3 linked regions of the Oryctolagus cuniculus genome follow. The main gene of each other region encodes a partner of the protein of the gene in region 3 in a complex. Links are inferred from orthologs where the notes say so. Each region holds a gene or a part of one and is shown on either strand. Other genes may lie near its edges.

Region 1 (2,284 bases), on a different chromosome or scaffold from region 3:
GATCCCCATAGGTTCCCCACTCGACGCTAAGGTTTGAAGAACCTCTCCTGCTCAGTATGACATGACCGATGGCCTCACAGACAGCAAAGACAAGGAGATCTGGAGCCAGGAAGGGGCCACAGCGCCCAGGACCCTCTGCACCGTCCCATCCTCCCTCGGCGGAGTGAGGAGTCCTCGTGAGGAAAGGTACTCTGGGCATCCTGTGCTTCGCCATCTGGTGGTGCAGGGAGTGGGTGGTCACACTACACTGGGCTTTCCTGGGGGTGTTACAGACCAGGGGGCAGATCTGGGGGAGGGCAGAGGAGCTGGCTAAAGGACAGAATACAAGGATCCGCGATTTTCCAGGGGCTGCAAGCCCTCAGGGTGGACTGAGCTGCAGGGATGCAGGAATAGATGACCACATGACCCCCAGGAACAGATGACCACATGACCACATTTATCTCACGCCGTGTGCCCAGGGGGGCGCCTGATCTCTTCTACCCCACTGTGCCCCATGGACCCTCACGACAGACTTCCCTTCCCTCTGCCAGGACAGCAGCCTCGGGGATATCACAAAACCTTTATTCTCAGAAAACAGGAAAAACTAAAGCAGGAGTTTCTATCTGGCCCCTGCCCCAGCCCTCTCACTCCCCCTCATCGCCTCCCTTTGGGGAGACTGTGATGCACGCACAGGGGTGGGAGCGGGTCCAGGTTCTCCTCCCCGAGCTGCCCAGCCTCGCCCCTCCACACACTTCAGGAGAGAAGGCTTCCAAGTCAAGGCCAGCATGGCCCTGGAGCTCCCTGGGGAGCAGGTCGCGGAGAGAGCACCACCCTGTGCCCTTCACCGCTTACAGCTCATCTTCGTCCAGCTTGGCAAGTCTGGCCTGGCAGGGCGGGGTTGGAGGAGTCACAGGGACTGGGGGAGGGTCCCGAGGAGCCTGGGGGATGTCATGGAGGGCCTGAGGAAAGAATCGAGTCACAGGATGCAAAAAGGCCAAGAAGGACTTTTCACTCTTCTCTTTGCAGTATAAGCCCTTGGCCAAGCCCCTCCCACTGTCAGCCTCTAGCAGAGTTAAAAGGGGTGGGGGGTGGGGGGTAAGGGAGGGGAAATAGGGAGGAGCAGACTGAAGAAAGGGCAGATGTGGGGGAGGGGACCACAGAACAAGAGAGCCCCTCCCCCCACTTTGCCCCTCCATCCTTCATACCTGTGTGTCCAGGGGCAAGGGCGCTCTGGCCACCTCCCCTTTGGGCATCAGCAGCAGGGAGGGGAGAGAGCCGTTGATGGGTGTCTGTGTGCTGGCCTGGGCCCGGTCTCCAGGCTGAGTTCTCCCAGGGCTCCCCACCCCAGGGCCCCCTGGCCGCCCCAGGCTGTTGGTCTGGCTCTCCCGTCTCTGGTACTCAATGGGTGACTGCAAGGCTGGGCAAGGACAGGGGGAGAAGGCAGGTTATAGCAGAGACAGCCCCTTTCATGCTGGGCTCTGCTCAGACCACCCTCCCAGCTGGCCCCTCTCCCCCAGGGACCACCAGCTAGTGTGAAATACTTGGGGCTTTAGGGGCTTCTGAGTCACTCAGTGTGGGGCCAATCAGACGGCAGGGGCTGAAGGAGGCAGTGAGGGATTCAAGAGGGCCTGGGGCTGGGGGAGCGGGTATGGGCCTCACCGTTGAGAAAGTCCCGCTGGCTTTCCAGGATCTGTGCCACCTGCTTGATCCAGGCCTGGCTCACGGCAGGCTCGGCAGCCTGCAGGACGTAGCGCTGGACGCCGCCCTCCGGCCCTCTGGAGGTCAGTGCGAAGCGGCAAGGGTCCCCTTGGAGGTTCCCCTCCAGGCCCAGGCAGCTCACCTGAACCGGCAGACAGGAGATGGTCCCCAGGTTCCTCAGCCCCTCTCTGGGTCCTGGCCCCTCCAACCATCCGAGAGCCAGCCAGCCAGCCTCGCCGGGCCTCACCCTGTCTCAGGCAGGCCCTCCCTCGGAGCCCACCTTGATGCTGCTCTTATATACGTAACCGGGCTGCGTTCCGCCTCGCGTGCCTCCTCCTAGGGCCTCGCTGAAGATGACAATTTGCTCAAAGAGGAAGACGCGCCTCTCTCGCCCTCGGGCAGACAGCAGCCCCCCAGCCTCAGGCTCTGTGACCCAGAATGTGTCCTGACCCAAGAGCTTCCCCTGAGCGGTCAGCTTGCCCTAGAACCAAAACATTCGACCTTTGAGAAAGACCCTGGAGGGAGAACGTCCCCTCCCGGACATTCCCAACCAACCACCCGGCCCGCAGGGGCTGCCCCCCGCCCCAAGCACCTGCAGAGAGCTAAG
Region 2 (3,003 bases), on a different chromosome or scaffold from region 3:
TCTCCCTTCCTTGCCTGATACTCTTTTCTCATCCCCAGCAGGCCCTGGGCCCCCGCAGAGAGGCCAGGGGATGCAGCCAGTGCTGCTGGAAGATCCAGAGCAGAGGGGCCACGGAGAGGAGGAGCTGGGTGCCCTGCCCGACCCTCCTGCACCCCTGGGTGGAGAGAACAGCACCATCAGGACGAGGGACCCCATCCACCTGGCCCTCCCAGGCCCTCTGTTCATGGAAGGACTCGCTGATTCAGCCCTGGAAGACGGTGAGTGCCTCAAGGAGCCACCATCAGCCCCTGGTCCCCAGTAGCTTGGCCAGGGTGAACTGGCAGACGCCGTCACCCTCCACCTGCCGAAGGCGCTCCCTGCTGGTGCTTGAGGACACCAGCGAGGTGGCCAGAGCCCTCCAGCCCTCCCCTGGGAGGAGGCAGGTTGACCACTTGGAGTGGGGGCAGCTGCAGTGCCTCACCCGTGCCGTGCTCTGCCCCTGCTGACGTGGCGAGCAGACCTGTGCAGGAGAAGCCAGCCCCCTCTTCCCGCTCCCCCTTGCAGTGGAGAACCTGCGGCACCTGATCCTGTGGAGCCTGCTGCCAGGTCACACCCCAGAGACACAGACTGCCAGGGAGCCCGAGGATGACCTGACACCCACGCCTTCTGTCATCAGCATCACCTCTCACCCCTGGGACCCAGGCTCCCCAGGGAGAGCTCCTGCTGCAGGTGAAGGGGACAGCACCCAGCTCCCGGGGCCAGAGCGGGGCCAGCCAGAGCAGGACACGGCGCTCTCTTCTCTGGAGCACCTGCCCCCACGGACCAGAAATTCTGGGATCTGGGAGTCTCCCGAGCTGGACAGGAATCCAGCTGAAGAGGCTTCGAGAACAGAAGGCACAGGAAATTACAAAGTTGTGAGAAAAGGTAAAGTGGGCGCGTCCCCTGGGGAGACAGAGGCCTGGTTTTACAAGAGTTGAGGTGGGTCTTCCCTCCCCATCTTGAGCTGGGGACCGTGTGAGCAGAGCTCACCCCCAGTGTGGGAGGAGGTGCAGATGTGTGAGGGCCCTGCGGTCAGTCAAGGTTCAGCGCCCAAGGCCGGCCACACCTAATTCTAAGGTACTCGCATGGAACATGTATTAAAACATACGGGTATCTGGGTGCCAAAAGATGGTGGAGTCCACACATGGTTTTTTCATAATATGCATTTTACATGAACTTTTTGATAAGCCCCCATATGTAGGTGGATTGCAAGCTTTTTGTACCAAAATAAACTTATCTTGTAATTTCATTTTCCAAGAGCTTTTTTCCCCTCATATCTGTGACCTTAGACAAAGCTTTGAATTCTCTCTGACCTTTGTTCTCTGATAAATGAGGACATTTCCTGTGCCAGTGAGGGCTCTGGTTGATTTCCTGGGACCTTCCAGGCCTGAGAACAGGATGTGGCTCTGCTCAGGCGCTCAACCCCGAAAGACAGTGCAGCCGCGTGCAGCCGGTCACTCCAGATAGCAGCCCTGAGGACCCAGATGGCTGCTGGGACTGGAGGGGCTATAGGACAAGGAGACAGAGGGGTGAGGCCGAGTGGACACACACCAGGGTAGGGGACTGTCATGGACAGCCGGGAGACCGCTGTAATGGAGGCGCCCTCCAGGAGGCTGAGGACAGGCTCATGTGGCCAGAGCAGCGAGCCCAGGGCAGCCAGGCTCGGGAAAGGCAAGGTGGCGACAAGGAAAGGCTGCCAGAGGCACGTGGCAGGGCAGAGGAACAAAGCCTGGGCCACTGCTCAGGGCTGGATGGGGTCCACGTTAGCGGCTCTGAGTCTCCTCTCCTCCCCTAGTGCTCTGCTCCACCTCCCATTCCAGTAGTGTTCTCCCTGCACCTGCCCGAGGTCTGCCCTCTCCGCTGGGTTTCTGGGACCTGACCTTCCTTCTCTCTGTTCTGGTGAACTGGTGCAGAGCTCTCTGAGCTCCCTGGGAGGTGACCGCGTGTGGCCTTGTGTTCACTTTGTTCTTCCCTTGTTCCTCCTCCCCTCCCCACCCCCACCCCCTCCTCTCTCCTTTCCCCCTCCCTTCCCTCTCTCGCCCTTCCCTTTCCCTATCTTTCGGACTCTGCTCTCCCTGGTGGTGGTGGTGGTGTCGGTGCAGCCGAGGTGGCAGGCGGCAAGGGTGTCCCTGCGCTACCAGAGAGTGGCCAGTCAGAGCCTGAGCCACCTGAAGCAGAAGGCGGAACAAAGGCTGCGGGTAATACACCTCTCCTGGGAGCCCAAGCCAGGCCAGGGCTGGAGCAGGGCGCTGTGGGGGCAGACCTGCGGTCACACACACCCCTCCACACTCCATGGGCCGCCGGGGATGGGTGAGGAGTAGGATGTGGGCCTGAGGACAGGGCACTAGACCCTGTGACATCAGGTCTTCACTCGTCAGGAGCTGTACAGGTCCCTTGTCCAGGCAGTAAGTCAAGCCACCTGTGTTGAATTGTGAGGTGAGGTGGGGCAAAAAGCGTGGCCTATGCCCAGGGCCCCAAGTCCTTTGCCTGACGCTCGGAGCTCCCACCCCCAACTCAACCACCACGCATGTCACTGTAGAGTAGGCTTCTGTGGCCTCCCGGGTTCCTTGGTGCTCACTGCCCTGTCAGGACCCTCCACGTCCTTCCCCAGCTGTCTCTGACCCCCCTCTGACGGGTCATGGTATGTCCATAGGAGGGGGACACAGGTGGCAGTTGGGGCAGGAGGTAGCGCTGAAGTTCATCAGCAGAGCTTGAGGTGAGGCAGGTGAGAGGCTGCTGCCTGCTTCTCTTCCGGAGGCTGAAGCAGCCCAGCGTCCCCACCCTTCCCTCCAGCCCCGTGTCCCTGCGTGAAGCACTGCGCCTGCCACTTCTCCCTTCACTTCCACCAGTCAGTATCCCGCCCTGCATTCGCAAAGTGGCCATCCAAGGAGGCTCTCTGGAGGAGGAGGGCTTTTAGGTGATATGGGCAGCACAAAGCCAGCATCTCCACGTTCAACTGGGGAGGGCTTCCCTGGCCCTGTTCTG
Region 3 (3,605 bases):
TACTTTTCTTAGAAAAGAGCTAAACTAAGGCTTTTAAAAATAATTAGAAAAGCAAATCACCAGTCTCAATGTTGTGAGGTACCTGGCTAAATACGAAGTACTGATAAGAGATGTGGGAAACCAAAAAGCCAGTTTCAAATCTCAGTCTAAGAGATGGCTTTACATTTGAAACCCATGTACTTTACAAGTGGATACATTTAACAGTAGCCATGGAGACTTATGGTGAAAAGTGATCCATGGTCTATATTCTACAGTCCCAAGGCTCTAAGAATCCAGCCAATGATGACTCTTCCACAAGCTCAAGTCTCTCTTTTATTTATTTGGCAGCCAACTCTAATTTTCAGCCATTGGATCCCCAGAAGTCCTCAGAAGTCAGATGTCAGTCATGAAGGCAGTGACAAACAGTAGGCTGCAGGGGCACTTACCTAAACTATCAGGGCTGTCAATGGAGAAACACATCAGGATAACATCAGTGTCTGGGTAGGAGAGGGGCCTCAGGCGATCATAATCTTCCTGGCCAGCTGTGTCCCACAAAGCCAGCTCTACCTGTGATGGAAAAAAACAACCAAATACAAAAGTGCAAGGTTAATCCCACAACCCACTTAGAAAAAGTGACATCTGTGACAGTACATGCAAACGGCAAAAAATTAAAAAATAGGAAGACATAGGAAATACTCACTTTGATGAGACTCAAGCCCAAACAAACAAGTTGTGCTCAGTCTTTTAAGTTGAAATTTCTCAAAATTACAAATTTTATAAATAGTTACTAGAAATGTACAAAGTGGCATAATTTAAAATGCCAAATAAAAAATAACTTTGTCTCTTGTAAGACATGTTTAAATAACATTCTACTAGAAAAGAAACTGAATAGACAAGAGAGGAGGTTAAAATGTAGATAACATTTAAAATGTAAATAACATTTTACCAGGTACACAGGCAAGACAGGGAAATACCAAATTCACTACCCTTAATACTTCTAACACAACAATTTCTTCTCGGTGCCCCTCTCTTCAATAACTGAAACATCCCGTATCAGAGAGTTTGGACAGAGTGCTGGGTACTCTTCTTCCAATCCAGCTTTTCTGCAAATGTTCATCATGGATGGCAGCAAACAATGGCTCTAACAGTTGAGTCTCTACCATGCATGTTCAGAACCAGACCGATTTCTGGACTCCAAGGTATTGAACCAGCAAACAGGAAATCTGTCTCTCTGCCTTTCAAATAATTATTAATAGTAAATATAAATAAGATGGATTGGTGTGGTGGTAGCATGGATTCAGCTGCTGCTTGGCATACTGGAGTACCAGTTCATGTTCTGGCTCCTCTGTTTCCAATCCAGCTTCCTGCTAATACATCCAGGAAGGTGGTGGATAATGGCCCAAGTATTTGGGCCCCTGCCACCCATGTGGGAGATACAGATGGAATTCCTGGCTCTTGGCTTCAGCCTGGGCCAGCCCTTGCTATTACAGCCATTTCGGGAATGCAGCTGGAGGCACACTTTCTCTGCCTTTCAAATAAACACCAAATAAATAAATCCTAGAAGGAAAAAAAAAAGACACCATTTTGAATATTAGGGGAGACCTGAGCTGACAGCAAAAGTTTGTCCCTGCTTTAGCTTAAGCAATATATAGAGGCTGGCGTTGTGGTGTAGCTGGTAAAGCCACTGCCTGCAGTGCCAGCATCCTATATCGATGCCAATTTGAGTCCTGGCTGTTCCACTTCTGATCCAGCTCCCTGCTAATGTGCCTGGGAAAGCAGCTGAGGATGGCCCAAGTCCTTGGGTCCCTGCACTCACATGGGAGACCTGGAAGAACTGGAGGAAGCTCCTGGTTCCTGGCTTCGGATCGGCTCAGCTCCAGCCACTACAGCCATTTGGGGAGTCAACCAGTGGATGGAAGACCCCTGTTTCTCTCTGTCTCTACCTTTCTCTGTAACTCTTTCAAATAAAAAATAAATCTCAAAAAAAAGTTCATCAATTAAGAGGTTCATTTGAGCACTATCTATTTGGCAACAAACTATATTTCTCATATTAACAAATCTGAAAAGGGCACATATACTACAAAGGTTGTTTTGTGTGAAATACATAGGAATGTGGATAAAGTTTAGATGACAAGAAAATGATCAAATGTGGACTAAAGCGGCAAAGTGAGAGGAGATTATTCTTTCCAAAATTTTTTTCCAACTTTTTTTTTTTTTTAATGATTTATTTATTAACTTGAAAGGCACAGTTTCAGAGAGAGGGAGAGATAGAGATCTTCCATCCACTGGTTCACTCTCTAAATGAATGGCCACAATGGCTGGGGGAGGCCAGCTAAAGCCAGGAGATTCTTTCAGGTCTCCCACATGGGTGCAGGGGCCCAAACACTCAGGCTACCTTCCACTACTTTTCCCAGGCCACTAGCAGTGAGCTGGCTTGGAAGCAGAGGAGCCAGGACATGGACCAGCACCCATATGGGATGCTGGAGTTGCATTACCTTCCACACAATACTGGGCCCTCTTTCCAACATTTTTGTTAATACCTGTACTAAGAGGCAAAAAGGCCTAAACCTTTAAAGATCTACACACAGCCTAATATGCAAAGTGGCATCAGCTGTAACAAAAAGTGTGCTCACCTGTTTCCCATCCACTTCGATATCTGCCACATAGTTCTCAAACACTGTGGGGACATACACCTCTGGGAACTGGTCCTTGCTGAAGACTATCAGCAAGCACGTCTTGCCACAAGCACCATCACCGACAATCACCAGTTTCTTCCGGATGGCAGCCATCGCTGAAACATAAAACAAACGGTTTTATCTGCAATGAACAAGAAGCCATGAATAGCTTCAGGCTATGACACATTTTTTCACCATGGGACAGAAGCTTCTATTTGCATACCCAAATTAATTCTAGTTCACTCTTCCACTTGGAACCAAAAGGCTATACACCAAAACCTCCTAACTAACATTATACTGCACGGTTAATAATTGAAAGCCTTCCCTCAAAGATCCACAAGGATATCTGTTTTTGCCACATCTATCCAACACAATATTGGGAATTAGGTAAGAAAAGCGAGCCCATGACATAATCCTGTATGTGGCGAATCCTTTGGAATTGATTAGGAAACTATTACAACAGATCCATTCAGCAAGATGGCAGAATGTAAGATCAACACTCAAAGTCAACAGTATTTCTTTTTCTTTGTTTTTAAAGATTTATTTATTTAGGGGCCAGTGCTATGAAAAAGCAGCTTAAGTTACTGCCTGCAATACCCATGTCCCATATGAAGGCAGATTCAAGTCCTGGCTGCTCCACTGCTGAACCAGCTCCTTGCTAATGCACCTGGGAAAGGAGAAGATGGTCAAAGTGCTTGGGCCCCTGCCACCCACATGAGAGACCTGAATGGAATTTGCAGGCTCCTGGTTTCTGCCTGGCCTAACCCTGGCTATTGTGGCCATTTGGAGAGTGAATCAGGGATGGAAGATCTCTCACTCCCTTCTCTGTGACTCAAATCAATCTTTTCTAGATCTGGGTCAGGCCAGAGCCAGGAGCTTCTTCCAGGTCTCCCTCATGGGTGGCAGGGACCCAAGTACTTGGGCCATATTCTGTTGCTTTTCCCAGGCCAT

The links. The genes of interacting proteins can lie anywhere in the genome.
Region 1: the proteins of RHOA (region 3) and ARHGEF25 are in contact, whole or in part, in a crystal structure (PDB 2RGN), measured with the Homo sapiens proteins. The link is inferred for Oryctolagus cuniculus from reciprocal best matches to the Homo sapiens genes RHOA and ARHGEF25. Residues at the interface, in NP_001300870.1 of Homo sapiens: Arg5, Tyr34, Pro36, Thr37, Val38, Glu40, Asn41, Val43, Asp45, Glu54, Trp58, Asp59, Ala61, Gly62, Gln63, Asp65, Tyr66, Asp67, Arg68, Leu69, Leu72, Pro75, Asp76; in NP_891992.3 of Homo sapiens: Tyr163, Val164, Glu167, Thr171, Met174, Tyr175, Asp178, Cys253, Lys256, Pro257, Glu260, Ser264, Arg275, Arg281, Leu282, Asn285, Asp286, Ile289, Lys290, Val292, Gln293, Arg294, Met296, Lys297, Gln299, Leu300, Leu301, Cys327, Pro330, Lys331.
Region 2: the proteins of RHOA (region 3) and ARHGEF11 are in contact, whole or in part, in a crystal structure (PDB 1XCG), measured with the Homo sapiens proteins. The link is inferred for Oryctolagus cuniculus from reciprocal best matches to the Homo sapiens genes RHOA and ARHGEF11. Residues at the interface, in NP_001300870.1 of Homo sapiens: Arg5, Thr19, Val33, Tyr34, Pro36, Thr37, Val38, Glu40, Asn41, Val43, Asp45, Glu54, Ala56, Trp58, Asp59, Ala61, Gly62, Gln63, Tyr66, Asp67, Arg68, Leu69, Arg70, Leu72, Ser73, Pro75, Asp76, Pro96, Glu97, Pro101; in NP_055599.1 of Homo sapiens: Asn715, Gln717, His718, Glu737, Val738, Glu741, Thr745, Ser748, Ser837, Lys844, Arg867, Arg868, Leu869, Gln870, Arg872, Asp873, Ile876, Met879, Gln880, Arg881, Thr883, Lys884, Leu887, Leu888, Ser891, Arg914, Leu917, Lys918, Val920, Asn921.

The regions. Positions count from the first base shown.
Region 1 is NC_091442.1:60,220,644-60,222,927, reverse strand, and holds the end of ARHGEF25 (rho guanine nucleotide exchange factor 25), read right to left. Parts: intron 2,159-2,284; coding exon 1,958-2,158; intron 1,820-1,957; coding exon 1,639-1,819; intron 1,397-1,638; coding exon 1,185-1,396; intron 939-1,184; coding exon 828-938; 3' UTR 543-827; downstream 1-542. UniProt on the Homo sapiens protein: May play a role in actin cytoskeleton reorganization in different tissues since its activation induces formation of actin stress fibers. It works as a guanine nucleotide exchange factor for Rho family of small GTPases.
Region 2 is NC_091438.1:41,883,891-41,886,893, forward strand, and holds part of ARHGEF11 (rho guanine nucleotide exchange factor 11), read left to right. Parts: intron 1-38; coding exon 39-257; intron 258-543; coding exon 544-903; intron 904-2,120; coding exon 2,121-2,216; intron 2,217-3,003. UniProt on the Homo sapiens protein: May play a role in the regulation of RhoA GTPase by guanine nucleotide-binding alpha-12 (GNA12) and alpha-13 (GNA13). Acts as guanine nucleotide exchange factor (GEF) for RhoA GTPase and may act as GTPase-activating protein (GAP) for GNA12 and GNA13.
Region 3 is NC_091441.1:99,877,357-99,880,961, reverse strand, and holds part of RHOA (transforming protein RhoA), read right to left. Parts: intron 2,771-3,605; 5' UTR 2,769-2,770; coding exon 2,613-2,768; intron 547-2,612; coding exon 426-546; intron 1-425. UniProt on the Homo sapiens protein: Small GTPase which cycles between an active GTP-bound and an inactive GDP-bound state.